Lepisosteus oculatus: one gene and its partners. The protein of the gene in region 1 interacts with the protein of each later gene in a pairwise test. Links are inferred from orthologs where the notes say so. Each region holds a gene or a part of one and is shown on either strand. Other genes may lie near its edges. The genes, in order: rabac1, nudt18, sorting nexin-10 and syt16.

Region 1 (7,268 bases):
CGCGCGGGGCTCTTACCGCAGGTCACACGCTCGCGCTGCTGCCCCGGCCGCGGGCCCCCCTGGGCTGGACCGGGCCTCTCCGGGGCGGCGCCGCCCCCCCTGCGTCTCCGACCCCGGCCGCGCTTCTGAGGGCTGGGGCTCGGCCTGGACGACTCGACGCCTGGGGAGAGAGAGAGAGACGGGCGGGTCAGGCTCTGGAGACCCATCTGCTCACACCCCCCCACAGACCACAGGACAGGACCCCCACTCGGTGCGCCCCACTCACCCGCACTCCACTGGGCCCCGGCGCAGACCGGAGGAAGGTCTGTCTGTCCACCACAGTCCTTCTCTGGCCGCTGGGAGGAGCTCACTGACGCTTCACCCCCGTACCCCAATACCGGGACTGCGCTGACACGCTCCGGGGACACTGAGAGAGAGAGAGAGAGAGAGAGAGAGAGAGAGAGAGAGAGAGAGAGAGGGTTAATACAGACACACTGACTGGACACTCCAGTACATTAACACTGCACTGAGAGAGAGAGGGGTTAATACAGACACACTGACTGGACACTCCAGTACATTAACACTGCACTGAGATAGAGAGGGGTTAATACAGACACACTGACTGGACACTCCAGTACATTAACACTGCACTGAGAGAGAGGGGTTCATACAGACACACTGACTGGACACTCCAGTACATTAACACTGCACTGAGAGAGAGAGGGGTTAATACAGACACACTGACTGGACACTCCAGTACATTAACACTGCACTGAGAGAGAGAGGGGCTAATACAGACACACTGACTGGACACTCCAGTACATTAACACTGCACTGAGAGAGAGAGGGGTTAATACAGACACACTGACTGGACACTCCAGTACATTAACACTGCACAGAGAGAGAGGGGTTAATACAGACACACTGACTGGACACTCCAGTACATTAACACTGCACTGAGAGAGAGAGGGGTTCATACAGACACACTGACTGGACACTCCAGTACATGAACACTGCACTGAGAGAGAGAGGGGTTAATACAGACACACTGACTGGACACTCCAGTACATGAACACTGCACTGAGAGAGAGAGGGGTTAATACAGACACACTGACTGGACACTCCAGTACATGAACACTGCACTGAGAGAGAGAGGGGTTAATACAGACACACTGACTGGACACTCCAGTACATTAACACTGCACTGAGAGAGAGAGGGGTTCATACAGACACACTGACTGGACACTCCAGTACATTAACACTGCACTGAGAGAGAGAGGGGTTAATACAGACACACTGACTGGGGGGTTGGGGTGCACACACAGAAAGGGGGTACAGGCCTCACCCGTCCTCCTCTTCTTGCGGCTGACGAAGGGCAGCAGGTCGTGGCGGGTCAGGACGCGCAGCAGCTCCAGCAGGGGCCCCAGGCGGGACTCGCTGCAGTAGCCGCGCCGCTCCAGCTCCAGCAGCAGCTCCACGCCGCACTTGGGGCGGTGGCGGGCGGCGAGCGGCGCGGGCGAGCCGCGGGGCCGCAGGCGGCGCCAGGCCTCCAGCAGGCGGGGGCCGGCCCGGGGCTCGGGCTCGTCGGCGGCCGGGTCCGGGGTCCAGCCGGCCGGGTGCAGCGGGTGGGCGGCGGGGCAGGTCTCGTCCAGCAGGAAGGACAGCACGTCCACGTCCGTGTCCGTGAGCTGCGAGCCCACCACCTCGAAGAGCTCGTGCAGGGACTGCATGCCGTAGTAGGTCAGGCACTCCGTCTCGTCCCACCACAGCGGCCGGCGGGCCGGGGCCGGGCCCGGGACTGGGACTGGGACTGGGGGCATGGCCGAACCGGCGGGCCTGGGTGTGGGTGCGAGTGTGGTCGGAGGTGTGGGCGTGGGCGTCCACGCAGGGCGGGCCGGCCGCGCTGTTGACAAACAACCCGGGTCACGTGCAGGCGTTATGTAAGCCCACGTGCGCCCCTCCTCTCCGGCTGGCCCCTGCGGTGACGTCACGAGCTCGCGGAAGAGGTGCGGGTGGGTTGGAGGTGTGTGTGTGTGTGTTTCCGCGACACAGAGGCGAGTCTACCCCAGCTGTCCCGTCGTGTCTCGCCTCCCCCACCCGTGACAAGCGGTCTCCAGATCCGTCTCCCCTCTGCTGCGCCCGTCCCGGGGCTCCGGCCAGCGGCGGCTGTCCGCAGAGTGACCGCTCCGGCCGGACCTGTGTCACAAGCGCTCTGCTGCGGTGCGGGTCGGAACCGGGCCGGGATCCGGGCGGCTGGCTGTGCGCTGGCAAGTTCAAAGCTCGTCTAGTGTCCGGGCTGCACAAACCCTGTCCGCTCTCTCTCGCGACTCGTCCGCTTCTAGCAGCTTCCAGAAGCAGCTGCGCGCATGCGCGACCGCCCCTCGCCGAGCGGCCGCCATCACCGAGGCACCGGCCAATGGGAGAGGAGGGTCTGCCGCACGTGATCTGCCGACGCCGAGAGTCGCCATGTTGGGAGAGGAAGCCTGCCCCCGGGCGCCCAGGAGACGGAGGAGGACAGGTCTTCCTGACAGGCTCGCTCACAGGTGGATAGGGGCGAGACTCGCGATGGCCGGCGAAGGAAGTTGGAAGCAGGAAGTCCGGATAGCCTTTTCCTGATTTCTGCCCGGCGTGTAGCTCGAGCTGTTCGTACCTGGAAAGGCCGTTAGAGCTGTGAGCTGGTACAGGCTGGTTACCATCGAGCCCGGACCCTGTGCTTCTCAGTGGTGACACGTGTCTGAGCGCACAAAACACAATATTCAAAATCAATCCTTTTGTTCGATTAAGGATTTGATAAGTTGCGTTACTTGCGTTGCTATCTCTGAACTGGCTCCATCACTCTGCTCTCCTCCCCACTGAGAGCTGGTGTGTGGGGAGCGGACTGGCGCATCATCCAGGTGGGGCTGCACACTGGTGGTGGTGGAGGGGATCCCCATGACCTGTAAAGCGCTTTGACTTGAGTGTCCACAAAAGCACTATATAAGTGTAAGGAATTATTTTTATTACTTAAGAGCGCTGCTGGCATGAAGCGGATCCGGGGCTCTGTTTGGCTGCCGGAGGCGCTATCCCGAGCCTGGCCGCTAGGGTGCAGAAGAGGGGCCTGCTGCTCGGTCGCCTAGCAACCAAAAAGTTGACGCCCTCACTGAGCTGCCAAACCGAGTTACCGTAATAACTGATGTAGCACAGACGCGCAACTTGGGTTCCTCCACAGTTTCCTCCACAGTCTACGGTTTGCGTTTACATAGCGCTGGTGTTCTCCGAGTGTGTGGGAGACGCACAGCGGTCATTCTGCACCAGTGGCCCCAAATTGTCGTTTCACGACGGTAAGATCTCATCCCGAGGGCAGTGCCTTGTAAAGGACGGTGTCCCTGTTCACCATACTGGGCCAGTGGGCTGGAAATTCTGGTCCAGAGGGAAGATAGTGGTGAGGTGCTCCACCAGCACCCCCTGACCAAAGCAGCCTCTATGGTCCCACACTGTCCAGATACCCCTACTGGGGCTGACCTGTCTCTCACAGTCTTCCTGAGCGAAATGCACCAGCGCTCGCACCCTGAGCTATAGATGTGTAGGCACCCCATTTGCCAACGGGGGTTTGACAGAGCCGGCCTGCGCGCCGTGCTGCAGACACGGAGGCGCCGAGAGCTAATTCCGGCTACCCGTCTATCAGGCGATTTACGGTAAATAGCCAGCTCGTTGGCCGCCCTACGGGGACACGTCACATCCGGAACTGAGCCGGAACACAAAGAGAGCATCGCCGAGGGTGAGTGTCTCGGAGTTCCTGAGACATATATAATTATTTCAAACCTTTTAATACTGTTTGGGATCAGACTGGGGATTGAGCAGCGGTGTCGAATTGCGGCTGTTGGTTCGGTGCGCGGGGCTAATGGGAAGAAGTGTCTCCAGTTCTTCCTGCTGGAAAACCTGGCTCACTCGAAAATGGGAAAAACCTTCCAATTGGAAAAAAATATTCACGGTCCTCCATTGGTATTAACGCCGTCCTGGTGAGAACAGACCACGTCGTTTACGTGTTAATAATAATAATAATTATTATTATCTCACTCACTTTCTAAACTCATCTTTACTGTTTGTTTTGTTTGGAACAGTGACGTAGAGAGGGATGTAGTGACGTCGTTGTTCTGGTAGGTTGGGTGATGACGTTATAGGCTGGCACGCAACGCGCCGAAGCTCACTCACGCACTCCCACGCGTGGAATGTGTGGCCCTGCGGGGTGCAGGGGGCAGTTTGATTCGTCCTCGTACGTCAGTTGAGTTCCAGGGGGATGAAGCTGGTTTTTTGTCCTTCTGTCCTGGCGCTGTCCGGGAAGCAGCAGAGCCGACAGCGGGACAGCGATGGCAGGAAAGACGGGGGATGTGTTCAGCGGGGAACCGGGAGAGCCGGCCGGAGGAGGACTGGCCGGGAAGTAAGTTCCCTTCATGGAAACGCTGTTGTTTTCTTAATCCCAGTGAATCACTAATCCAGCTCCCAGTCCAGTCAGTCCAGTCCAGCCTGGAGAGTCTCTACACTGTGTGGGCCAGTGCAGTGTCAGTGGGGTCAATGACAGGGTCAGGGTTAGTAGGGACAGTTCAGTGTGGTCAGTGTCAGGGTTGGTAAGGTCAGTAAAAGGTCAGTGTTAGGGTCAGTACAGTCAGTGACATGCTCAGGGTCAAAGACAGGCTCAGGGTCAGTGTTACGGTCAGTGTGGTCAGTGACAGGCTCAGTGTCAGTGGGGTCAGTGTTAGGCTCAGTGTGGTCAGTGGTGTCAGAGTCAGTGACAGGCTCAGTGTCAGTGGGGTCAGTGTGGTCAGTGACAGGCTCAGTGTCAGTGGGCTCAGTGGTGTCAGGGTCAGTGACAGGCTCAGTGGTGTCAGTGTGGTCAGTGACAGGCTCAGTGTCAGTGTGGTCAGTGACAGGCTCAGTGTCAGTGGGGTCAGTGTCAGTGGGGTCAGTGACAGGCTCAGGGTCAGTGTGGTCAGTGGGGTCAGGGTCAGTGACAGGCTCAGGGTCAGTGGTGTCAGGGTCAGTGACAGGCTCAGTGTCAGTGGGGTCAGTGTCAGTGGGGTCACTGACAGGCTCAGGGTCAGTGTGGTCAGTGGTGTCAGGGTCAGTGACAGGCTCAGTGTCAGTGGGGTCAGTGACAGGCTCAGTGTCAGTGTAGTCAGTGGGGTCAGGGTCAGTGACAGGCTCAGTGTCAGTGGGCTCAGTGGTGTCAGGGTCAGTGACAGGCTCAGGGTCAGTGACAGGCTCAGTGTCAGTGTGGTCAGTGACAGGCTCAGTGTCAGTGTGGGCAGTGTCAGTGGGGTCAGTGTGTGCTCCAGCAGGCGGTCACTCTCTCTGTGTCGCAGGCTCTGGCTGCCGCGGGGGCTGTCCGGGGGCGTGGCGCGGGAGTGGCTGGAGCGGCGCCGCGCCGCCATGCGCCCGTGGGCGGGGTTTGTGGACCAGCGGCGGTTCTCCAAGCCGCGCAACTTCGGGGATCTGTGCCAGAGAGTCGTCCGCAACCTGGACACCTACCAGAGCAACTACACCTTCATCTTCCTCGGCCTCATCCTGTACTGCATGTGAGTCCAGCAGCGGGGTCACGGGTCGTGGGTCACTGCTGGGGGGGGGGGAGGTCATGGGTCACAGGTCACTGCCGGGTGGGGTCACAGGTCGCAGGTCACAGCCCTGGGGGGGGTCATGGGTTGCAAGTCACTGCTGGAGGGGGGTCATGGGTCACAGGTCACTGCCGGGGGGGTCACAGGTCGCAGGTCACAGCCCTGGGGGTGGGGGGGGTAATGGGTCGCAGGTCACTGTTGGAGGGGGGTCATGGGTCGCAGGTCACTGTTGGAGGGGGGTCATGGGTCGCAGGTCACTGCCGGGGAGGGTCACGGGTGGCAGGTCACTGCCGGGGGGTCATGGGTCACAGGTCACTGCCGGGGGTTGCAGGTGGTTACCAAGGCGTTGCAGATCAAGGGTCACAGGTCACAAGTTGATGCTGAGGGATCGTAAGTCACAGGTTTCAGGCGTTCACTGACCCTGCATGGACAGAAGTTGAGGATTTTGAACACTCGCTCTGTCGCAGTGAAATGAAGCAGCTCTGTCTCCTGTCTCTCTCAGCATCAGCTCCCCGTTGCTGTTACTGGCCCTGGCTGTGTTCGTTGGCGCGTTTTATGTCATCCACCTCAAGAGCCTGGAGAAGAAACTGGTGCTGTTTGGTGAGTCCGTCTGTCTACACCTGTGCAGTGCAGTGTTCATGTACTGGAGTGTCCAGTCAGTGTGTCTGTATTAACCCCTCTCTCTCTCTCAGTGCAGTGTTCATGTACTGGAGTGTCCAGTCAGTGTGTCTGTATTAACCCCTCTCTCTCTCAGTGCAGTGTTAATGTACTGGAGTGTCCAGTCAGTGTGTCTGTATGAACCCCTCTCTCTCTCAGTGCAGTGTTAATGTACTGGAGTGTCCAGTCAGTGTGTCTGTATGAACCCCTCTCTCTCTCAGTGCAGTGTTCATGAACTGGAGTGTCCAGTCAGTGTGTCTGTATTAACCCCTCTCTCTCAGTGCAGTGTTAATGTACTGGAGTGTCCAGTCAGTGTGTCTGTATTAACCCCTCTCTCTCAGTGCAGTGTTCATGAACTGGAGTGTCCAGTCAGTGTGTCTGTATTAACCCCTCTCTCTCAGTGCAGTGTTAATGTACTGGAGTGTCCAGTCAGTGTGTCTGTATTAACCCCTCTCTCAGTGCAGTGTTAATGTACAGTGTGTCTGGATGAACTCTCTCTCTGTCTAGGGAGGGAGGTCACTGGGGGACACCAGCTGGCCCTGGCAGGAGCTGTGTCCTTCCCTGTGTTCTGGTTGGCTGGAGCAGGAGCAGCTGTGTTCTGGGTGCTGGGTGAGTTCCTGTCTGACTCCTCCCTCTGCTCTGCTCCTCCCCTTCCTGTGCCGCTGTACTGAGGCGTGTCCCTGCTCCTGTCACTCAGGTGCAACGCTGGCTGTGATTGGGTCTCACGCAGCCTTCCGTGAGCTGGAGAACGGGGACCTGGAGGAGCTCACCATGGAACCCGTCTGACCCCTGACCTCCTGCTCCTCTTCACCCTGTTTCCCTAGTTACTCTTGCCTCTTTGTCACACAAATACTCAGTCATTGTGACGACGCATTTCCCTGTCTGTCTGTATTTATTATCAAGGCACTGACTGACAGTACTGACAAGCTGATACCGACAGACTGACACACCGACAGACTGACACTCTGATGTAGTGACACGCTGACACAGCGACACACCCACACACACGGACACGGTGACACACTGACAAACCCACACACACTG
Region 2 (7,441 bases), on another chromosome or scaffold:
AGGGGCGAACGGGAAATTTGGCCAGGATGCCGGGGTTACACCCCTACTCTTTTCGAGAAACACCCTGGGATTTTTAATGACCACAGAGACTCAGGACCTCGGTTTTACATCTCATCCGAAGTCGCCTGTTTACAGTATAGTGTCCTCGTCACTATACTAGGGCATTAGGACCCACATGGACCGCAGGGTGAGCACCCCCTGCTGGTCCCACTAACACCTCTTCCAGCAGCAACCTTAGTTTTTCCCATGAGGACTCCCATCCAGGTACTGACCAGGCTCACACCTGCTGAGCTTCAGTGGGTTGCCAGTTGTGAGTTGCAGAGTGATATGGCTGCTGGCGAAACTAAAGGCTTAAATAAAACTTAGAGGTTTACGTTATCCAGAACAGCCCTGTACATAGTAGAGATGTAAATGAGGAAATAAAATACTGAATACCCAGAAATACTTCAGTATTAATGTTTTCTTATTGTGACAAACCTATCTTTCAGCACAAATACAGAAAAATATCCAAACCAAAGTTTCTGTAAATGGCCTTAGAAAATACAAAAAAAATGAAAACCCACAAGCTTCTAGAAATGTTAAGAAAAATCAAAAGGCTAGTCATTTATTTACAAAAGAACAATACAGTAGATATACGATGGCAGACAGCACTTTCCAGCACTCTTCTGGAACAGTGTTCAGGGCTTGGTCTGTCAAAACAAAAAACAGCCTGTGGCATTCAAAGGACATTTTCCATTATGGCCTGAAACAAAAGATGTTCTCTGAATCTTGTCATGGTCAATACAAAATACAGTAATGAAAGCAATACAGACAGCGTAGACTTTAAAAATCCATTATTGTATTTAAAATAAAACTATGCATTATAGTTTTTAAATACTTAGATGTGAGGGGGCTAGAGTATAACAATTACTAAACAGCAATCAAAGGATCTGAGATGATGTATTTGCTAAGGCTGTTTCCACTGTATAGGTGCTGTCAGAGTTGAGCCCAGTCCTCTCAGATTCCACACTATTCCTGATAATTTACACCTCAATGAAAAGGGATCCTGACTGGCAAGACACTTTTTTTAGGAAGAAAACAGTTCTGAAAGCACTGCATAATGGATCATGAAATATTTTTTATTTATAAAACACTTTTCCAATCCCAAGGATGCTGTACACAGTGATAGAGATCAGCAAAAGAAGAAAAAAACGGAACAAGAACATACAGGATCATCTGTAGGGCAATCAGACATAGGTCCTAATACAAAAGGTGAGTTTTAGGCTTAGATTTCAAAAGAGTCGAATAATTTGTCTCTTGAAGAGCCGGAGAAAGTGCAAATCATAACAACAGAGCAGCCTCTGCAAAGGCACAGTCACCAGAAGACCAAGATCCTGGCTACTGTGAGCAAAGGACCAGTCCCAACAGAACAGAGCCTATGGGAATGGAGCCTATTAAGAGCTTTAAATGTCACTACCAAGGACTTATACTGAACACTTCATTTTATAGGCAACCGATGTAGAAATTTAGGTGTAGGAGTGATATGCTATAGGGTCTGGTGTGAATTAGAATTCTAGTTGTAGAGTTTTGTACATATTTTGGAGTTTTGGAGCAAAGAGTTAGAGAAATCGAACCTTTTTATTAAAAAAAAACGGGAATTAAGTTCACAGCATCGGATATTAATAGAATTTGAGCAGATTCCTGACTGAATGGGGAAGCCATCCACCGTCGCTGTAAGGCTCTCCAGCTTTTCCCAGCTGACATTTGCTGCCCGTCAATATCATTTCCGTTGTATCACTACTTATCTTCCAAGGACTTTGACGTCAAGCAGAGTATGATGTTACGCAGACCAGCGATAACTGACGGAGGCGGCAGATCCCGAGGGAGAAGAGGTTTTAACGTAAATCTGAATATCTGCATAACAATGAAACTACGCTTATAATCCGAGCGAGGGGAAGCATCTCAATAATAAAAAGTAATGGGCCCCAAGACTAGCTTCTCTGATGGGAAAAAGTCATTCTGCTTCCAAACTGTGGAAAGAATTGTTTAATTCTTGAAAAACAAAACGACAAGCGGTATTGTAGAAAATGGGAGGTGTTTGGACAGCTCGTTATTGTGAAAGCACTTCAGATCGTAGAACCTATAAAACAGGCTTGACAACCCATTCAGCACCACTCAAGGTGTACAGTCCTACCTGAGTCTGAGCGGGAAAAAAATATCACACAACTGCAGCAAAAACAAATGTTGTCATGTTTTCAGTTAAACTACAACAATAAAGGACTTACTTTTCAATCATTTTCTAGAATTCCTCTGAACAGGATCTATTTGTCATTTAAACGATTCAATCCAGGCATGTTCAATAGCATTATCCAAGTATTAAATTACTTTCAAAAATCGACTGCCAGACGCCCTCCAAAAAAAAAAGATGAAACTGAAGAACTTATTTTTGGCAACAATAACAATCGTAATAGGCGGCCGTTTGAGATCGAGTAAAATTACAAATCTTCACAGCAAGCACAACAGATCGATGTGTTGCCTTTACGGTGAAAGACCTCCCAAAGCAGGACAACTGTTGTAGACCACAGAAAGTATTTGTCAAACCCGCTTCAATCAGACGATGCGTCTGTGGGACACCACCACAATCTGTTCCCGTTTAAAGCCAGTTACTGGAAACGCTTAAAACACACGATTAGACCGCCTGCCAAGACTGTACACCCAAGACCCTTTATAACTACAGTAGATGATACTTAAACGAACAACTCTTCGTAAATGTGTAAACTATGTGGCAGCGTGCAGGTTGACAAACACTGGATGTTTTCCCACCACGGCAACACTTCAAGAAGCCCAATTTAACACAACAACTACATGGATTATTTGAAACACAGGGAGACAAGGGGATTTTATCACTACTGTACATGCAATCGTTTTGGGTGTACACACCACCTCGCTTTAATCTATACCGGCCAACCTCTTTATTTCCATCTCAAAGCGACACTGCAAGGACAGCAGGATGATGTACGATGTGAACTGTGTTAGTTTTCTTGGCAGGTATTCACTAACCGTATAATCGAAAACTCCCTTCATCCGCTGCGTCGTTTTTTTTCCCAAAGGCTTCCCCAAGAACACCAGCCCCAATTCATTCACCTCGGTTACCTACAACATTCACCTTCAAACTGCCATTAACTTTTGAAGTGGACAATTAAATGGGCTGTATGGAGTATACAAATTATTCAGCAAAGAATATCATTACGGAACAGCTTTTAGAAACTCGCGTTTCTCAAAACGACCCGTGTAGAAACATAGCGAAGCACATGTTAGACGGTCACAAACGGTGGACCACAAAAGTTTCTCGGCAGGTTGTTGAACTGAAAAAAGGCTGCATTTGTAGGTTACGACGATGAGTATGGTACTCAAAGTGCCAGAGCAGCTTTGAGTAAAAATGTAGACTTAATTACTGAAGTCTGAATTCGTGAATAGATCGGCGTCACTTACTTTTACTACCGTAGGTGAACCCGTCTGAAAGCAAAATCCCCCAAAAAACGAAAGTAAAGCAGCTCTGGGGCAAAGTTTTACCCATCTTCGTTAAGAAATAAAGTCGGCGTAATCGCTTAACAACTCAATTCTTTTTCCTCTATCCAGGCGTTGCCTCCTAAGAAGTAGATGCCTTTTCCACATACTGTAGTAGACCACCTCCGACAACCTTTATCGAGCCATCTTTGTCTCTGTTTTTCTCTACCAAATTCCCAGATTATTTTATGAGCGGTTATTTTTCAAAGAAAAAAAACAACAACAAATGACTACCATGTGCTGGCAATAACGACTAGATATGCTGATTCACTGACTTCCCAGCGTTGTTTGTCCGGACAGCTCAGGTTGGGCTATCCATTGAGTTCGAGTGGAGTGGACTGCACGGAGCATGCGTCACTCTACAAACGGGCCCGTAGCTAAGGTTAACCCTTCTTCTTCCGCGCACACAGGCGTACGCCTGGCACACGTACCAGGCAGCAGCAGCTGTTGAAGAAGGACAATTTAGAAAGAGGATACAAAGAAAAAACGTCGCTGCAAGCCCGCACAGTGAAGAGTAACGATGATTGTACTTCGGCCAGCAGCTAGCTACAGTTGTCTGTTTTTCAAGGACGCGCTCCTTACTCTAAATATGCTGATGGAAGGGTTTATTTGTAAGGTCTGTGGAAGAGGTTTCACATTTAGGCGCATTCGTACAAATAATCTGCACGCATGAATAAATGCATATCCCTTCCTTCAGCTGTTTCTTCATTTTTGACTGTTTTCCATTTAAGACCGTGCTGAGAATAAGCTACAGAGCTCCAAATGCATCCAAAATAAGTAGTTATCGAAGTAAATAGTCCATTTATGGCTGAAGTCTGAGCTGTAAATTCGACTCGTCAACAAATGCAGTAAATAAAAATATTAACTATCCTGTCATTCGTAAATTAATTTACCAGGACCATCATCTTTTATTCTGGAGGAGTAGAACACTCGCAGCTGTAAGCAAAAGATAACTAATGGTTCAAATTGTATGCTACATTTAGGACTTGTCATTAGGATACATTGCCGGCCACACAAAAAAATACTTATTAAACATGTGAATGTTGAAGAAAAGCACTTTATAGATAGCCTATCTGTAGCAGTGAGACTACAGAAGAAAAAACGCAGTTCTGCAGGTACTGTATCTGTTTTGTGCAATCAAACCTTTTGTGCGCGTTTTGTTATGTGCGTTATAATGGTATCTTGGACTTTTTTTACTATCCCTTAGCTCGCAGCCAACGACAGTGGGTGGGCTGGACTTCCGCTGTTATTACTGTACAACATATACTGTACGTGCTAACGAAGAAAACAGCTAGCGTACCAGTAAAAGCAGAGCTGCGTTTTAGGTAAAACTGAATTGCATGTCCACTTTCCGGTTGTTGACAGATGTACGAAACACTTTTGCTGAGTTTGTTTTTGTATGTATGTCAGACGGAGATTTCTGGTTTGGTAAACAATACAGATTTGATTTCAATGACTCCTGGGCAGTAGCAGAAAAAACACGGTTGCTGCAGAGGCACTTGGGAGTCCAGTCCAAGGACGTTGCATTTAGCTCCTTACTAATCATAGTTTTTTTTTACAATTTTATGAGCCCTCCCAGTAATCTTTACGGTGGATACAGTTACCACAACATTGTACATCTGCATCCATCAGCATTTGTCAGGTGCTTTAGCTCTGTGTACTACGCAGCTATGAATTGAACCCAGGAACAATGCACCAGATCGCTGGTTTCCATGATGCAATAATAACTACCTTTTAAAAAAGGTGCATTGAAGCGCTAATCGATAGACGAGTTTCTTCTCGGTGAAACTAGTGACGATCACATGTTTCCACCAAGCGTTGCCCAAAACACAAATTATATATATTTAAGTTAACTTCCCTATATTATTTTCTTTAAGCCCGTTAAGGGATCTGCAAACCAAACTCAGTCGCCGAATTTCTTCGATTATAAACAGAAGGTTCGGGCCGGACCGGGACTTCGCTTTCCCCAGCAATGGGTTCGGCTCATCGGACAGTGGAAGACGAGTTGGAGAAGATTCTGAGCGGTGAAGGCTCGCCCGTGCAGCGGTTTGATTCCGCTCCGGACCTGCAGTCGGTAGCATTAAGAAAAACTACCTGCTACATCGTCTGCGGCGTCATCTTTAACGAAAAGGTAAACGCGGTAGACCGGAAGATAGCTTTTCAACGTTTTGGATTCATTTTTTGTTTCGGAGAGCAGAAACGTGCCATGCGGCATTAGAAACGTTATTTGTACCCGAGCCCAGCTAACCGACTGGACTTCCCAAACCAGAACTCTTCTGGATTTTAATTTAAAAAATAGAATAGTACAAAATACAGTACTTTCAATCTTTATACAATAGTGAAGGGTGAAGTGTTTATTCAATAGAAGCAGGTTTCTTATTTGAAGAGCTTTGAGATTCTTTGGGATTAAAACGCTGTACGAATGTAAACAAATGTCAACTGTAAGCTTCCATTTAGCCAATAGAAGGTAATTACCGCCGTCAACTCAGTGGTAAATTGTGTATTTCAGTCTGTGAAAGCACTTACTTAAATTGTCGTTTATTACTTTCAAGCCCGTGCTTTTTAAGAGTTGTGTATCACTCTCCTCAACAAGCAGTTATTTTATTTTAGTGCTAAGCTCCTGTCCTCTATGACCCTGTAGATTCATACTGCCATCTATTGGCTTTAAATACAAACGTTTTATGGTTTTCTGGTACCATTAGGTACAGCACACTGATTGAAGTCAATAAGTATTTTTTTTACATACATACTAAATACATATTAAAGTATAGAAATATTAACAGTGTCCTAAAGTGTTTTTACTTATTCTTTTACTTCCACTAGCCAAACTGCTCCGTATTTTAATATTAGAAACACAGCTGTATGTAGTTAAAATCCCACACAAGCTAGTGCCTACAACAAAGATTTAATGAGAAAAAGATCGTAGTAAGGATTAGTAAATGATTATCTTTAGTTGACGATATGAGTGAATATCCAGTGACTTGATTATCCTGTGCACTCTGTGTCTCCGAGCCCTGCGGCACCCATACCCTACATGCAAACGAGCGCGTTGAGGGATGCCTCCGGCCTCATGGTGTGTCTTGTGTGTCTGCTGGCCTCCTGCCTCACAGAACGAAGTGCTGATGATGCAGGAGGCGAAACCCGAGTGCCACGGGCAGTGGTACCTCCCCGCCGGCAGGATGGAGGAGAACGAGAGCATTGTGGAGGGGATGAGAAGGGAGGTGAGGGAGGAGACGGGCCTGGAGTGCGACCCGGTCACCCTGCTCCTGGTGCAGGAGAACGGCCCGCGCTGGATCCGATTCACTTTTCTGGCCCGAGCGACAGGTTGTGCAGAATTTATTACTGGCTTTTAGAGCTTGGTGCAGGGCAACGTGTTTTAGAACGACACTGGTGACCGGATGGAAGAATCGAGTTTGTGAGGCACTGACATACAAGGGGGAGGCGCAGAGGTTAACATTGCTGCCTTGCAGCGCTGGGAACCCTGGGCTCAGTTACTGGGATTCTCTCGGTGTTCACGTGCATTGTCTCTGGGTGCTCTGTTTTCCACCCACAGTCCAAAGACATACAGTACGTGTAGGTGAATTGGCTGCTGAGGAAACATGACCCAGGCGTGAGTGTGTGCTTGTTTGTGTTTGAGTGGGCCCAGTGATGAACTGGCATCTGCATCCTGCCATGTGCCTGCTGCTTGCCAGTATAGACTCTGTCTCCCCCGCCACCCTGAATTGAAAGAAACGATTAGAAAATGGATGAATGCAAAATTCAAGGTGGAGCCTGCCTTCTAAGTGGAGATGATGGAATTAAGAGATGAAATCAAAAGGATTTGATGCATCAATTCTATTACAATAGATTATAATCCAGAGATCTCTCAGACCAGTGTGCTCAACCAGTTGTTAGG
Region 3 (7,931 bases), on another chromosome or scaffold:
AGAGGCATGTACTCACACTGGCTGGAAATGTAGGAGGGCAATGGTGAAAAAAATAAGCCTTAGAGTACAAACATAAAAGACATTTCATGGTAAGACTTTTCTGAGAAGCAGCTGTTGTGACACTAGCAGGCTGTACAGTATATGCACATCACTTCTTGTCGCAGTACTGAGAATCAGCCTCTGTGCCGAAAGCTTTGTTATAGCTGTAAACACTGCAGATGACAGAGGACACTCACTGACTCTCGGCTGATAACACTTCATTCTAAACTTAAAACTCTTCTCATCTAACAAATAGAGCCGATATATTCCTCCAAATTCAAAAGAGAACAGAGTAGAAGTGGTCATGTGGTGCAGACCTGATGTTTGGTTCTTGTTGCAGTAATAACATTATTAATAGTAAGATGATGAAAAAGAATACTTGTAATGAAACTGAAAGCACAAGCAGTTCAGTGGCAGAAATGTAATACACATTAAGGAAGTACTAGAAAGAGAATAAAGAAAAGAACAAACCAAGAGTAAAACTAAATTAAACTGAAATTACAAAGCTAAAGTCAAAAGAAAAGTCTTCAGAGATTTAAAAATGAGGGTTTTGGGATTTCAACTTTGTGGAGTCGGGTCTTCAGAGGGAGAAGAGCATCAGCAGAGCTCGGGCACTCTGTCCTTAAAGTAACCAGTGGACAGACCACGCAGTGAACACTGTCATTTTCTTAGTGATTCATGATGCTGTGATTGACCATCTCAAAAGAAGAGAAGGATATTAAGTGACACTAGCAAATCATTAACTATCTTAACGAGCTGTTTCAGTGCCTCTTTCTAAACCTTGACTAAAAGGGTCAGGAATTGTAGAACTGTCAAGTGCTACAAAAACACTTCTGCAATTTTGTTTGTTCTTGCTCAGCAGGTTTCTGAAATACTTCTGTTTGATGCCCAAGTAAAGATAAGATCTTTGTCTTGATTAAACCCACTGTATACTCTAGCACTCTGGTAGCTGAGATCTGAATCCACTCCATTGTGTGGAAATGGCCTTGCAGTTACTTTATTCAAAAGAAAACAGCTCACAGAATGCTTGGAATATTATAGGACCTGAAAAGATTATCTGTGCAAACATACTTCAAAACATTTAAGAATGCAGAATTTAAAGAGACCTCAAAATAGTTTATTATATATTTTAATAAAGACTGCATTCATGTTGCGCCTAGAGTTATTGCAGTGCCGTAAGCATTATAGTCAAAAAAGTTTTTTTTAATCCAAACATTCTTAGTTGTGCGTGCCTTCTTTACAATTCTACACAGTAAGGAAGGTATAGCTCTGCACACTGGTGGCCCACAGGTAATGTCACCAGTGTCTTACAATGTAGTTCTTTTAGCTGATCTATGATAACCTCTTGGGCAAACAATATTTCTACAGAAGTGGACCCGCAAGAGAGGCAGGATCAGATTTCTCTTTCACACTTTGGGAACATGAATTACAGTAATTTGAATCAGGGCCTTAGTAATCAAGTCCAACTTGACCTCCTGCAGATAAATTCTCTTACACAAGCGAGACATAACTTTCATATAAATTCAAAGAGTAAAAATGTTATTTTTTCTTTAACTCTTTTTCCAAAGCAACTTACATTTGTATGCATTTATACCACTGGAACTTTCACTGGAACAACCTGAGAGAAGTACCATCCTCAGGGTACAGTAGTAGTACCCCGTCTGGGACTCAAGCACTGACCACGCTGATGCCTGGATGTGATTCTTCTGCTCCATGCTGCAATGTGTGGATGTGATTGTACATGATGACTCATGGAAACATCAGTGCTGGAATGCTGATCATTAATCTGTTCCTCATAATAAGACAATATCTTGCTACTTTGTTGGAGGGATACTGTGGCAGAGCCAGGAAACTATGTTATCTGTTATGTTATGAATGTTATCTGCTTCTAGGCGTTTTCTCTTTAAACAGCAGACTTGTGAACTATAAACATGATACAACACTTATAATGACATTGATGTATGTTTATTTTATTATTTAGAAATTTAAAACACATCGTAAAGGTTGCAAATGAGATGAGGCTGTTTTGCACACATATCCTGCCTGGTTGCTTGTAGCTAATTAATCTAAGGATCTCACAGCTGTTTCCTGGAAGAAAACCCAGACATCAGCATCAACAGCATGGCTGGGTTGATTGTTCCATGCTACCAGCACCCTTTATGTAAAGAACTGCCTCCTGCTCTCAGTTCTAACTGTACGTCCCTGTAGTTTCCATGTGTGCCCTGAAGAAGTCTGTTGGGCTGACTTTGTCAAAGCTTTGAGGATTATGTAGAGTCGAGTCTTGTTGTAATCTTCTCCTTTCAGCACTTAAAAAGCTCAGATCCTTCAGCCTGTCAATGTGAGACATTCCTTATACACCAGGAATGCGTCTTGTCTGTCATTTCTGGACTGATTCCAGAGTGTAGAATATGCACAGCATGTTTCTAGAAACAAAGAAATGTTTTATGATAAGTTTACTCTTGTTGGCAAATACATTTGCTTCCTCACTTTGCCTAGAAAAATAAAAAGGGTGTCAACATAATCACCCAAGTCTTTTCTATAGGTAAATTTGTCACGTTTTCCAGAGTGTCATACAGTTCTCTCAGTGTTTTGTCTCCCTATTTGTAACCTTTTACACTTTTTTTTGGTGAGCTCGCAGAAAAAAAGACATTTCATTGCCAGCAAGTACTGCTGCACGCCGAATTGTTGTGCATTTGATAAATAAACTTTGATTTGATTTGTGCACATTGACATCATCCATCAGGTGTGTTACCAGTCTTGAATATACCCATAGCATTTTGATTTTCCTTTGCAGTTTTGTTGGTGTTTGCTAACCTGTCATATGGGTGTTATCTGCAAACCAGTTTCCAGTAGTGAAATCATCCTCCAGGATCTGCCGGTTGTTTCTCTGATGGTACACTAGCAATTTAGATCATTAATGTAAATAAGGGAGAGTGGTAGTCCCTATCGATCCAGGTGTGTGTGCGCGTGTGTGCGCGTGCGTCCTGCGATGCACTGTACTCCATATTGCGCCCGTTGCCTGCCGGGATGACTTCCACTCCCTTGTGGCCCTGAATTGGATGAAGCAGTTAGAAACTGGATGGAGGGAGTAGTCCTTAATACAGATTCTTGTGGCACTCCACTAATTACATCACCCTAATTACCCCCTATCTCTGCTGTCTGCTTTCTATCCATTAAACAATTCTTAATCCAAACACATATATTATCTTAAATGCCAACTGCCATCAATGTGAGAATGAATCTTTCATGAGGAAATGTATTAAAAGCTTTATTAAGAGCTCTAACACATTTGTTAAGCAAGATGTACAGTATCATTATTTACTCTAGCCTAGGATGCTACTGCTTTACAGATGAGCCACTAATTGTCTTCTAATTATTGTTACCTTTTTTTATGGGTAACGGGAGTAAGACTTATTTGTTGGTGATTATATGGTTCAATTTGGCCACCCACTTTATGGATGGATGCTACATTCGCAGTTTCTCCTGTCTTGAGCAACTGTTAGAAGACTTTGTTAATGGTCACTGAATAAAATCTCCAGTTGACTGAAGGCCATCAGGCCCTGGAGATGTGTTTATCTTGAACACGTCTCATACCAGGAACACAGCTGTTTCTTATCAGCCCCTTATTCAATACTGAACCTGAGGCTGCGTGTCAGTTGGTTAACACCCTGGTGAAATATTCATTCAGCACATCAGATGTTTCACTTTCATTATCTAAAAACACACTCCTCCAAAACTGTGAGACACGTCACGTGATCCTTTAATGTTCTTTCGCTGTTGCTCTGTTAAAAATACGGATTTCAACCTTCTGAAACCTTTTCCTTCCCCGTCTCTTGTTCTTTCGGCCTGTGTTGACAGTTCGTATCCATTTTCTTAACATGGCTCCATGCTGTTGTCATCAGTTTATAAAGTGCTTTCATTTTAACTATAATTTTCTTAACTGGTTTACAAAGCTACTGGGCCCCAGCTTTCACTGAGTTTTATTTAATTAGAGTTTGGATTAATTTATTATGTTCTGTAGCTTCACCGAGTTAATTTGCAGTACTTTTATCTTATTTCTGTTGTGTGTGCTGTAATAAAGCCCTTTGAGTGTCCCATGAAGAAAAGTGTTATTATTGAGGTTAATTGTATTATTATCTTTTACCTGTTGCCACCCATTGTCCACTGACTCCACCAGTCCTGTCTCGGCCCTGCAGTGTCTGCTCTGGCCATGTCGTACACCATGTTTCACAATCAGCCTGTGGACTGAGCTACTCTGCAGGTTCTCTCACCCCTGCATCTTGACTCGATGACACATGCACAGCAGCACTTTACAGGCACCAGTTCAGAGCTGTCAGGAAACTGGAGCACCTGGAGACAACTCAGATGAATGCAGACTCCACACACAACTGCACAGGAATCGAACCTGGGACCCAAGAACAAGCCTCCATGATACTACACTTCCCCTGCCCAGTCTGACATGCTGTTGAATTCACAGGAGAGGTGCCGAAGGAAAGCAGATCACCTGGATCGGACTCGCCACACAGCTACACAAAAATAAAAACGGAAATAAATCAACGATGTGTGAGAACAGCAGTGGGGAAAAAATAAAAAAAATAATTCCCCAACACAAACCAATCTGAAAAAAAATGATCATGCCATGTGCTAAAACGTAGACATGTGAAACCTTTACCGTTAAAATTGTACTACTTTTTTTACAAAAAAAATAGCCCACATTTGGGCTAGAAAATATTCACAGAAAGCTCATGAATGAGATCAAACACGCCCAAAATCATGCAAGCGGAGGAGGGGTGTAATAATTTGTAGTAAGAGCCTCCTTGTCTCTCGCAATCTCACACGTCACGGCTTTGTGTGCGAGTAAAAGGCACTTTCCCCACAAGAGCTCCAGGAACTGCGAGAGCCGTGGTCTCCGCGAACAGACACTCCGGCAGTGTTACAGCTCGGCGTTCAGTCTGGTCTGCGAGCAGTGCGCCAAGTCTGAGCCCTGGTCCGACGCGCGTCCTGACCGCCGGCTGGGCAGCCTGTGACAGACACAGCGGTCTACGGTAAGTGCAACACTGTTACACTACCATAAAGCGCGATGAGGCTGGACTGCGTCTCTCTTTCCGGCGTAGCCGTGGTCGTCTGTTGAAAGCGCCGTTTCCACGACCGCTTGTAAATGATCCGGTTACCTTCGTGTAGCCTAAACCGGAGCCTGCCCCTCCATGCCGAGCTTTAGCAGAGGTCTGTCGAATAAACGCTGCAGCTCTCTGGAGCCCTGGGGGGTGGTTTCTGTATAACTGGGCACTAACTGTCTCTGCAGTGAGGTGTGTGATGGACCCGGCAGCCATTCTGTCCTCCTGCAGCTGCGACCCCACGTTTCCGACGCGGATCCGCACCAGCGCTGCCGATGCGCACGAAACACCCCCCAGCAGAGCCTCCGCAGAAAGCGCTTCAGACACTGCGTGGGTAGCGTCTCGGAGACGGCGTTTCGGTCTAGTCGGCTGGAGGACTTTATGTCATGTAAAAGCGAAGGCTGGAGTCACGATCGTTGACTTGTAAAAAAAAAACACTTCTCCTCCTCCTGCCCCCCTAACCAAACAGACTCACGCAGACCGGCATAGCGACTCCCAGCGCCGGGAGCTCGCCGCTTCCCCATTCCAGCCCCCTCCGAAATGCTTCGCCCAACAACGATAAAGTAATTAGCAAAAAGAGCTCAAGAAAATAAAACATAAACCAGAATCGCATGAAGAACACGGTTGACTGCATATTGCACATATATAAATCTAGTCGGGCTAAACTCGGATTACGTGCTTCCTTTAGAAAGTATTAAAAGCCTGGAAAACATTCTGATGTCAGTCTAACCGTAAAATCCTAGACCATTCTAACTGTGGAATGCCATATGTCTTAATATTATTAAGTGATCCACTGCATCATGTTTGAACAGATTAAGGGTAGCTAACAAACATCTGATTTTAATCAAGGCAGAGCTGATGAACTCATGACCTGAATGTTTGTCAGGATTTCTCTTTGAAGCTCTTCCTTGACTTTCTGAACCTCTTAGCCTGAAACTCAGAAGATCTGGCCGCTGTTTGCGGTGGTTTGTCGTCTCTCGCTCCCTTACTTGCTTGCTTTTACTAGCGACTCCTGCATGATTTGTGCTTCTCGCCCAGCAGAGCCGTTTTCCACAAGCAGGTGATGGCTCACTCTCGGCAGTGATCATTTTCTTATCGCTCTGTTATATTGCTTAGATCGTGTGTGCGTGTGTGAGGGGTATTCGTCTCTTCCCCGCAGGTGGTTTCAGACTCTGCCTGTCGATTTTCCCAATAAGTTTATTTGTAAGTCAGTTGTCGGCGAGGTCTTGTTCGCGATCCAGGTGTGCGTGTTTCTAGCTGAGCAAACGCAGATGTGAGGTGATCTGGCCTGTGGAGGTCAGACAGTTTTAATACGCCCGCTCTTCACCTGCACAACCCGTCCCGGAGCCGATAGCTGAAGAAATCACAAGCGGATCACCGCTAGCAACGGTAGCCTGATTCTCATTCTTATTTTGCGTTAACCTTCCTTTGTCAGCTTGCTGATGTGCACTGAGCTGCTGGGCTGGAGACCTGCACTGTGGCTGGCTCCTCCTGGAGCTGCTGTATTTATTGCTGACGGTGTTAAAGACTGTAAATAGTTCAGCAGGTTGTTATCAAACCGCGGTTATGCAAGCTGTTAAATCGTTTCCCCAGCAGAGAGGGGAACAGTCCTGACAGAGCATGAGGCTTGTTGTGCTGCGTTGTTACTGCTGAGTAAATCATTTAATCTACTTCCTGTAGTCAGGTTGTGTTTGCTGGAGAGGTGAAATCATTTTCTGTGTGTGAGGAAGCTCTTGCACTTTAAATAACAAGGTTGAACATATTAAGCCTTCACTAGTAATGTAGTCAACGTATCCCGGTTGTTGAAGTATCAGAAAGATCAGCTGGGCAGTAAACTGGTGCCGTGGCAGTATAGCGTGTGTACGACGTGCTCAGACTGTGGGTCGGACTGGTTTCTCCGCCAGCAGCCTGACCGGGTGGGGGTGAGAATGGAGGCAGTGCTGAGGAGGTGATGGAGGGACACGGGGACCGTCTGCCTCGTGATGAGCAGGTGGTTTGTTTTGACTGTGTGGGGTCCTGTCCCGTCTGATCTCGGCTGTGCGCCGGTCCTGCGATCAGAGCTCCGGGCGCAGTTTCCGCAGGGCTGTTCTCAGGCTCTGAAATGCATTTCAAGGGCCCTGCTGTGTACATGGTGCTCCAGGTTGTCATTGCAAATGATGAATAATCGAAATAATGTGGAAGTTTAGTGTTCTTGGTGTTTATTCTTCTGCTTCTAGAAATGTGAACATGGCAATTAGAGGTGTTGTAATCATTCAGGTACAGGACATTCAGTGGCACTTGGTTTGGCCACATAACAATCCGGAATGATGAACAATTCATACTAAAGCTCTTCAAAACTAGTTCTGAAGGCATGAGTACAAAACTCTCTTGATGAATTTGTTAGACTATGTTAATGCTTTTCACAATCGCTGCCCCTAATGTCAATCGGGACAGTGAATTTTTCACATTAAAAGCTGTACATTTGTCTGTCACTGACTGCTTGGTGAGTGAAAACAGGTTACTGGCCCACAGCTTCGTTTCAGTAGTGTTTCATGAAGGATCACAGTTTTGGAGTACTGTATCTGTGAAAGCACTGGTCTCACTGTAGTCTGTTTATATGTTTATGTGCAACAAGAGCATGTTCTTCCTCTTATGCCCTTGGAGAGCACATAGGGCATTTTAGAAGAAGGAAGCATAAATTATAAAAGGCCCATTATCAGCCGAGCACATGTGAATGTAGGTTTGTCTGTTCGTACGGCGGTGACGGCACGGCAGGCACATGGAGTTCGTGCTCACTGG
Region 4 (7,609 bases), on another chromosome or scaffold:
ATCTGTAAAACACAAGATGAAACATGCATTTGTGCTTTAGTGAGGTTTATAACAAGGATTCCCAGTACCCCAGGGAATCTGAGCGATGTAGAGAGGGAGTGAGCTAGGCGTTTAATGTTTTGTCCTTTTAGATTATTTACCTTTGGAGGGGCTTTTCAACAGTTTTTACTCCGGAAGTGTTTAAAGGTTTGAAAATGTTTTGTTTTTTTTCACTCAATTTCAGAAAATGAGCCGATGTGTTTTTTAAGACCACCGCGTGAAATCCATATATTGAACCACTGAGCATTCCTCTTTCAAAATCACCCCTCTCTCCCGGCCACTCCATCCCTCCTCTCACCTCCCCCTCTGCAAGCCCTGCGTGAGGGCAGAGCTGTCCAGCACTGACAGTCAGTCCTGCTAGACTGTACACTCCCTTGTGCTCCCTGGGTCTTCAACACTTCCGTGGCTCATCAGCTGCTGCAGGGCCTTTGGCTTTTTTTCGCTCTGTGCTCCCAGAGTACCCCTGATTCTTTCTGTGAAGGCCTCTTGTCCTCTCCCCATGTGGCCGGATGAAAGACAGCGGGAGCAGGAGCTGCACCACTCCCGTGCCCGTGGTTCTGCTGTTGCTAGGGCCATGCACTTCTCCAGTTGCCAGGTAATTAGGTGTATTCTTGGCCGCCCAAGGTCCTTGCCTTTACGAGAGTGTAAATGGACGGAAAAAGCCTCTTTGGGTGATGTCAGTCTAATGAAGCGCATGTGCGTGTTTGAGCTGTCGGTCGTGAATAACCAGTGGCAAAGAAATAGGAGCAACACTTCTACGCCGGGGTTTCTTGCAAAGTAGCCAACCCAAACCAGTAGTGAAGCAGTGGGATTGTTTATGCGGCATGTCCACCACCATCCATATCCGCACACAGATCATTGTTGTGCTATAATAGATGTTCCATCACAGCCACGAGTCCTCAAGGCTGTGCTGTTAGTAATAGAATGGGAACTGGCTTCGTAGTCACAGGTAATGACATGTATGATAAGGGAATAAAGTAAGAAGGCAGCGGGGGCGCACCTCATCCTAGCCAGAGGTCTGCGCTGGTCTATAAGAGGACAGCCAGGACAGCCAGAGGGGAAGGTGTTTGCAGATAAAAGGAACAGTGATGAGCACAGGGGCAAGGAGGTCCTCACTTATTATTTTCTGTCACCTAGTATGTGAATCCCCCCACCTCCTCTCAGGGCCTGGTGTTGCCACTGGCGGGGCCTGCCTCTCTCCTCAGGGCCTGCCTGAAAGCCGCACACCAGCCTCTCCTCCTTGTCCAGCCTCTAAGCTCTCACCCTGCCGCACAAGACTTCCGGGTGCCATGGCAACATAGACCTCTCCTTTTCAGCGGGAATGATGGAGACATTGCCTTTTAAGCACTCTGTGCGGAAGAAGAGGCCGGTTACCAGGGAAACTGACCACTGTGCCTTCCTCGGGAGGGGGGAGGCCTTGTGCAAACCTCTGGCTCTCACAGGCACTGGCAAAAATAGCAGCCTGACATTTCAAGAACTCGAGGCCATGTACCCGAGCACTGTCCCCGCACGAAAACAAAGGGGTGACTGACTCCCAGCAAATTACATTTCCCAAACACCTTGAAAATGAATGTCTTGTGCAGAATATAATTCCCCAAAAGAACCTGCGTTTAGTTTTTGAGAGGAGAAAGTACAGGTAGTGTAAATGAAATCCCTGATTTAATTAGCATTGCTAAGTTTGATGTGGCCCAGCTTTGCAGGCGTGGGTGAAATCTGATGCAGTTTCATGGATATGCAGGGACAAAGGGAGAGATTCAAGGATACCTTTTTAACAGGAAGAATAGATTTTGTTTTGGCTTTTCAATTCTCAGTAAATTATGTAACATTCCAAATTAATAACATGCTTTTTTTGTGCAGGTCTATACAATGCACCCTGGGACCAGCCCCTGTCCTTTCTGTGCTGCGAGGTTAACGTGGCTCAGCTTGGGTCTGCGCTGTGAGGTGCAGCCGGCACACACCTACCACACCTGCCACTGAGCCAGGACCTTCTGCGGTGTCTGTTAATCACAGAGCAAACAGCATTCCAGCACAGCCCATACAGAGGCTGGTTACAGCCCGCAACTCTCTGGGCTCCTGATCCCAAAAGTCTACAAGGGTGCAGTTCCCACTGGGGCTTGTCTTTCTTCAAAGCTGGAGATGTAGCGCACAGTAGGAAGTGAAGGTTGTTTTGTCCTTTTTCTTTTAGAGGAAAACTTTTAAGCACACGGGCCATTTGTATGAGTTAGCATAAACCCCTAAGGACTGGCCAGACCTGCTTTTCCAGCCCTGCGAGTTGGAGGGAGAAACGGTATGTGGGATATTTCGGCGTCTGTTAGAGGCAACTGCTGTCTTCAGAGAATTTAGTCTTCTAGGTGATTCGGCAGATGGGACGTTGCAGAGGACCTTGTGGCTTCTTTGGTACAGACCTGGAATTCAGCAAAACAGCACTTGCACAGGAAAGTGCAGAGAAAGGTGGGATTGTTTGATGTTGGCTGTGAACGGCTGTCCTCTCTGTGTTGCTCCTGCTCTCCCTTTTGTAATCAGAGGTTGCTGTAGCTGAAGAGACGGCGACAGAGAGATACACCGCTATTCCAACAGTTTGGCAGTGTTCTGTAAATGTGTGCTGCTCACTTTGAGACCTGTTGCAACAGGAGCAGTGATGGTTCATTCTAGGATTGTTCTGGTGAGGACTTGAAAGTTTTGAGTTACTCCTGCATCCTACTAGCTCTCATGTAGTAACTATAGATGTTAGGAATAAATATGATAATAAAATATGTTAGAAAATGTGTTAAATATGTTAGGAACTTTAATTACTACACCTGAGAAAATAAAGATATCATTTGACACATCTCCGACGATAATTATTATACTATTCGGCTTAAGCACAGTATCATGCTTAACATCTGTGAAAGTCTGATGTACCTGTCTGGACTTCATAAGTGTCTAGATTTGCTCATATTTCTTGTCAGCTTGCGGAAGAAAATTAAACAAGAATAGAATGTGTACTGAGGGAGGATTGTGTGCGTGGTGCTATGTCAATAGAATGACAAATTGACAGTCTGAAATCCTTTGAAACGGAACAGAGGCAGTTTTACAGTAACAACGTTCAGGAATTATTGATGGCGGTTCTGTTATTTCTCGAACAAAGCCACTGTGGATCAGTATAAAGAGAGACCTTGGCTTATTGTATCTGTCAGGGCTAAAGCGCTGTCAGAAAATGCCATGGGAATGGAATAAAGAGAAACTGGAAGGAGAATGGAAGGGAGGGACTGGATCCTGTGCCTTTCAGGCAGTCTCTCCTTCTGTGGCGAGAGATGAGCGTTGTGAGTAGGCAGGACCGCTTCAGTCGAGAATGGCAATCGGTGTCAGCGCACACAAAACTACACAACACCCCCACTCCCTGCCCGCCAATCAAGATATCTTCCCACACGACACTGGCACAAAGACTCTGGTAAATGTCGTGAAGCGTCTGAGAGGTGTTTGAATGCATAATGCGCTCGCCCTGCGTTTGTTCTCAGCAAGCCCTCATCTGGGGAGCGTGCTGCGGCAACGGGGAAGAGCACAGTTGCTCCTCTTTGATGTTTCCAGCAGCCTCTGAAAATTCCCCTTCAGGGGGCGAGCGCTCACTGAAGACACCCGCTCCAGTGCTGGGTCCAAGACGTCTTCTCTCCCGAAGACATTCGCTCACAGTCTTGTGTACCTTGTTGAAGAGCCTGGTTGGTTCATGAGACCTCTGAGCAGTACATCGACAGTTTTCTTTGACTCTCATCCTCAGTCTTCCCATCCATTCACTTTCATCTGCTACAGAAAGATTGCTCCTTACCTCAGAAGATACAGAGTCTGAGCCGGTGACCTTATTGCTGAGTTGCCTGTCCTGTAAAGAACCTCTTTATCGAGGAGTCTGTCTTCCTGTCAGATTTGGGTGTTCTGCCTGACCGCTATCATGTCAGACTGAAAGATTTGATGTGGTGCTGGGTGGAGAAATATGACATCTGATTTCATTTTCTGCCTTGCAGGCTCTTTAGGCTTTGCGGCAGACAGGGCTATTCAAGTTGCTATGTAGATGTACAATGAATGCACTTCAATGTGCAAAAATGAGCCCAGTGTTTGTGCCTCCCATTTGACCAAGTACTCTGTTTGAACAATGAAACATGGGCTAGAGGGAACGAGTGAAAACTATGTGGAAGTGAATTTATGATTGAAAACAGGAGGCACATCTTTATCCAAAGGATTGTGAGATGAACAAGCTGCCCATGTTGTTTCCTTCAAGAAACCAGAGAGACCCTTGAATCAGTGACCTCCCATACAGGCTTTATGGGCTGAATGGCCTCTCGAGAGCATTTCTCTCCTCGCCTGTTCTGAAGTGCTGTTCTGTGTGTCTGTTTGTCTGTAGTCACACCTGAGGCCATTGGTTTCCTGTCTGCGGTGGGCGTCTTCATCGTGGTGCTGGCTGTGCTCTTCCTCTTCATCAGTAAGAAGCTCTGTTTCCAGAGGATCGGCGGCCTGCCCTGCCTGGAACACCGCAGGAAAAAGAAACGCTCCCGAGAGAAAGCAGGGATTCACGAGGGTCTGGGTAAGAGGCCGTCGGGTCTGCTAGGGGTCTGTGTGTGTCATTGTCAGGCTGACTGGCAGACTGTCTCCCTCACTGTGTTCTGGTCTGCTTCCTGTGAAAATCACTGCAAAGTCACTGAACTGCAGACTGAAGCCTGTTAGTAGAAATATGTCTTTTTAAATTGTTTTCTTCATTCTCGAATTACCTCTCACTCCAGTCATGTTTGCTGTGACTTTGAAGAACACATAGAACAAAAAATAAATCACAGATCTCCGCGTACTGCTTTTGGGCTACATACAAGAATGGGAGTTTCAGAATAATTTAATTTTCTCTCTATTCAGAGGACAGTATTTCCGCTTCTACTGTTTTAACAGCTCAGAGACGCACACTTTGGAGGATACTGTGCCTCAGTGGATATTGTGGTATGTTTTGGAACCTCGCTCCTGTATCAGTGTAATAATCAATAATAATAATAATCAATCTTCTCTCCCTCTCTGAGCAAGAGCACCTCCCTGACCGATAGCTGTTATTATTGCCAGGCCATTGAAAATAAGGTTGATTATTTGTTAAAACAATTTTATTTTTCCAAGGAGTTTTTAAGAGTTCTCAGGAGTGTGGTTCAATTTTTTCTTGTGTTGCTACAAATGTACACCTGTCCCGATGAGGTGAATTATCAAAGACAAGTGAGCCCTTGTTAGAGTCTGAAAATGATTGCCACGCTGACCAGAGTTTCATTCTGTGTGAGGGAATCCCCTGGCCTTGTTGACTGCATCCTACAGTCAAAGAGTCAACCAGTTGGTTCCTTTTTGGCATGACTAAAAATGACTGGGACCTTGCCCTTGGTCTCCTGTGAGGAAGACAACTGCAGTATTTTACTGGGGCTCAATTCTTCTGTTAACTGCATTGTATAATGCTTCACAATCACAGAGCACCCTCTTCTGGGCTTGCAAATGTGGTCGCTGCTATCCACCAGTGTATTAAGCGACTATAGTCCCCTAGATAGCGTAATAGGGTTGTTGGTCTTGATTGCATAGTTGGGGGTTATGTTCATTACTAACTGCAGCTGTGACATTCCCATCCTCCCCCCTGACAAGCCTGTGAACACTGTCGTCTGATGCTCTTCATCAGTGCGTGCCTTCCCACAATGCATCTGCTCACTTCCTGACAGTACAGAACTGAACAACAGTTGCCGCGTGGTGAAAGGAGGCATTGTGGTTGGCGTTGCGGCCTCACAGCTTTTGGATTCGGGGTTTTTGTGTGGAATTGGCATGTTTGACTCTGCATAGGCTTTCTCCCACCTTCCAAAAACATGTTGACGAGGTTAATTGATGTCTTTACATTTTTCCTCCGTGCTCGTGTGTGTGTGTGTCTCCTGTGCCGCACTGGTGTCTTGTTCAGGGTGCAGCCCTGCCTGGTGTCCTCGTCTCCAGGAGATTGTGATCTTAGCCAGTCCTGGAGTCCTGCAGATGAGAGCGGTGCTCTGCTGCAACCAACTTTCTGGTCTTGTGTTTGTCTAACAGACAATAGAGAATTTAGCTTCTGAAGAAGGAAGGTGGAGCAATCAAATAGGATAAAGTGAGGTATTACCAACCAGGTGACTAGATCAACCTGTTGTACCATCTGTTTAAATAGCAAGGCTTGTGAACATTATTATCATATACAAGCTTATATGAGATCAAAGAGCCACACTCAACACAATTATCCATTAAGGTTAGGCTGAGGAATTATTTCACATGCCAGTCACGCTCACACAATATTAGTAAAGAAGTGAATGAGGCACATCTTCATTGGCCATTACATGATCACATTTTTTTTCTAAGTAAATAGTCGCACCTGCACAGTACATGTGTGTTGACTTTAGTTTTCCAAAAGTTCTTGAATTTAGAGGCATTGTCAGTCATTTTTCCAAGAGATCTTGCCTTGAAAATGAAATAATAATCACGGGAGGCAGCCAGTCCACTGTCTCTTTTGCTGTGTTTGGACTATGGTTTAAACGGTAAGATTGAATGAATATAAGAACTGTGCAAACGCTTGACAGTGTGAGGTAATGGTGCCAATATCTGCTGTGCCCGGCCAGGCGACAGATAAGAGATTACAAAAGAGAGGAGGCTCTCGAACAATGTTGAAATACAGTCATACAAGAGCATTATGCAGATGTAACATTGCTTCCCTTTATTTGAATTCGGCACATTTTTCTTCACAATACGCCTCTGAGTCACTGCCCTGCTTGCTCTCCTGTTCCTGTGCCGCCCACCACAGGCCAGCAGTGATGTCACATGGCCAGGAGCTCAGTGCACAACGCGCTGGGTGAGAGCAAACTCCCTCTCTGAGGAACAGAGCGGTGAACCTGCAAAGGGCTTTCAGCGCAGTTTAAACCCAATTAAGGCTGCGATAATGGGCACTTCCCACCCGCTGAGTGTGGGTGAGTCCGAGTGTGTTTGTGTTACCTGGCGATGTGGAGGAGTGCAGTGCGCAGCAGGGCTTGGGTCAGGAGATTGTTTAATGAGCGCTGCGAGAGAAGTGGGAGCAGGGCAGCCTGGGAAATGGAAGCACTCTCGGGCAATTCTGCCGGCTGCCAGCTGTTAGCCGCACAGGCCAAAACTCCACATGGGGCGCCGTGGAGCAGAGTTTTCAGAACTGAGACACATGCTATTAATTTAGAACAGAAGACAGGAAGAAAGGTTCTAAACAAGAGGCAGCCCTTTGTCCCAATCATAACTTATTTGGTTACTAGTAGCTGAGTGATATATAAAGCCAAGTGCATACCTGAATGAATTTGTTGGATTATTCCCAAACCTCTCATTTATCAATGCTAGATTCCATGATCATTTCACTTGTATGGTATAGAGTAGAATTATATAGTAGTAATGATTGAAGCTTCTTTAAAAGGGTTAGAATGGGGCTGTAGTTCAAAGATTGCTTTACCCATCCACTCCTGTGTTGCATGTTTGGAAGTAATGTAGATGTTGCAGCCTGCAGTGACTCTATTCTCAGTGCACGTCCCGTGTCTCAGTCTGAGCCTGCTGGCGTTCAGTCACC

The links.
Region 2: the proteins of rabac1 (region 1) and nudt18 interact in binary tests that used the Homo sapiens proteins (3 or more experiments, as listed by UniProt). The two-hybrid records come from large-scale screens. The link is inferred for Lepisosteus oculatus from reciprocal best matches to the Homo sapiens genes RABAC1 and NUDT18.
Region 3: the proteins of rabac1 (region 1) and sorting nexin-10 interact in binary tests that used the Homo sapiens proteins (3 or more experiments, as listed by UniProt). The two-hybrid records come from large-scale screens. The link is inferred for Lepisosteus oculatus from reciprocal best matches to the Homo sapiens genes RABAC1 and SNX10.
Region 4: the proteins of rabac1 (region 1) and syt16 interact in binary tests that used the Homo sapiens proteins (3 or more experiments, as listed by UniProt). The link is inferred for Lepisosteus oculatus from reciprocal best matches to the Homo sapiens genes RABAC1 and SYT16.

Annotation. Positions count from the first base shown.
Region 1 is NC_090722.1:9,966,984-9,974,251, forward strand, and holds rabac1 (prenylated Rab acceptor protein 1), read left to right. Parts: upstream 1-4,266; 5' UTR 4,267-4,325; coding exon 4,326-4,396; intron 4,397-5,318; coding exon 5,319-5,531; intron 5,532-6,069; coding exon 6,070-6,167; intron 6,168-6,731; coding exon 6,732-6,833; intron 6,834-6,921; coding exon 6,922-7,010; 3' UTR 7,011-7,097; downstream 7,098-7,268. Other genes in the region: dedd1 (death effector domain-containing 1), read right to left, coding at 17-160, 266-406, 1,325-1,799. UniProt on the Homo sapiens protein: General Rab protein regulator required for vesicle formation from the Golgi complex. May control vesicle docking and fusion by mediating the action of Rab GTPases to the SNARE complexes.
Region 2 is NC_090697.1:68,281,165-68,288,605, forward strand, and holds the start of nudt18 (8-oxo-dGDP phosphatase NUDT18), read left to right. Parts: upstream 1-4,440; 5' UTR 4,441-4,484; intron 4,485-4,778; exon of another isoform or gene 4,779-4,871; intron 4,872-5,423; exon of another isoform or gene 5,424-5,480; 5' UTR 5,481-5,518; coding exon 5,519-5,677; intron 5,678-6,656; coding exon 6,657-6,870; intron 6,871-7,441. Other genes in the region: disintegrin and metalloproteinase domain-containing protein 9, read right to left, coding at 3,472-3,556. UniProt on the Homo sapiens protein: Mediates the hydrolysis of oxidized nucleoside diphosphate derivatives. Hydrolyzes 8-oxo-7,8-dihydroguanine (8-oxo-Gua)-containing deoxyribo- and ribonucleoside diphosphates to the monophosphates. Hydrolyzes 8-oxo-dGDP and 8-oxo-GDP with the same efficiencies.
Region 3 is NC_090705.1:786,293-794,223, reverse strand, and holds the start of sorting nexin-10, read left to right. Parts: upstream 1-4,914; 5' UTR 4,915-5,084; intron 5,085-7,931. UniProt on the Homo sapiens protein: Probable phosphoinositide-binding protein involved in protein sorting and membrane trafficking in endosomes. Plays a role in cilium biogenesis through regulation of the transport and the localization of proteins to the cilium.
Region 4 is NC_090703.1:7,514,927-7,522,535, forward strand, and holds the start of syt16 (synaptotagmin-16), read left to right. Parts: upstream 1-4,599; 5' UTR 4,600-7,609. UniProt on the Homo sapiens protein: May be involved in the trafficking and exocytosis of secretory vesicles in non-neuronal tissues. Is Ca(2+)-independent.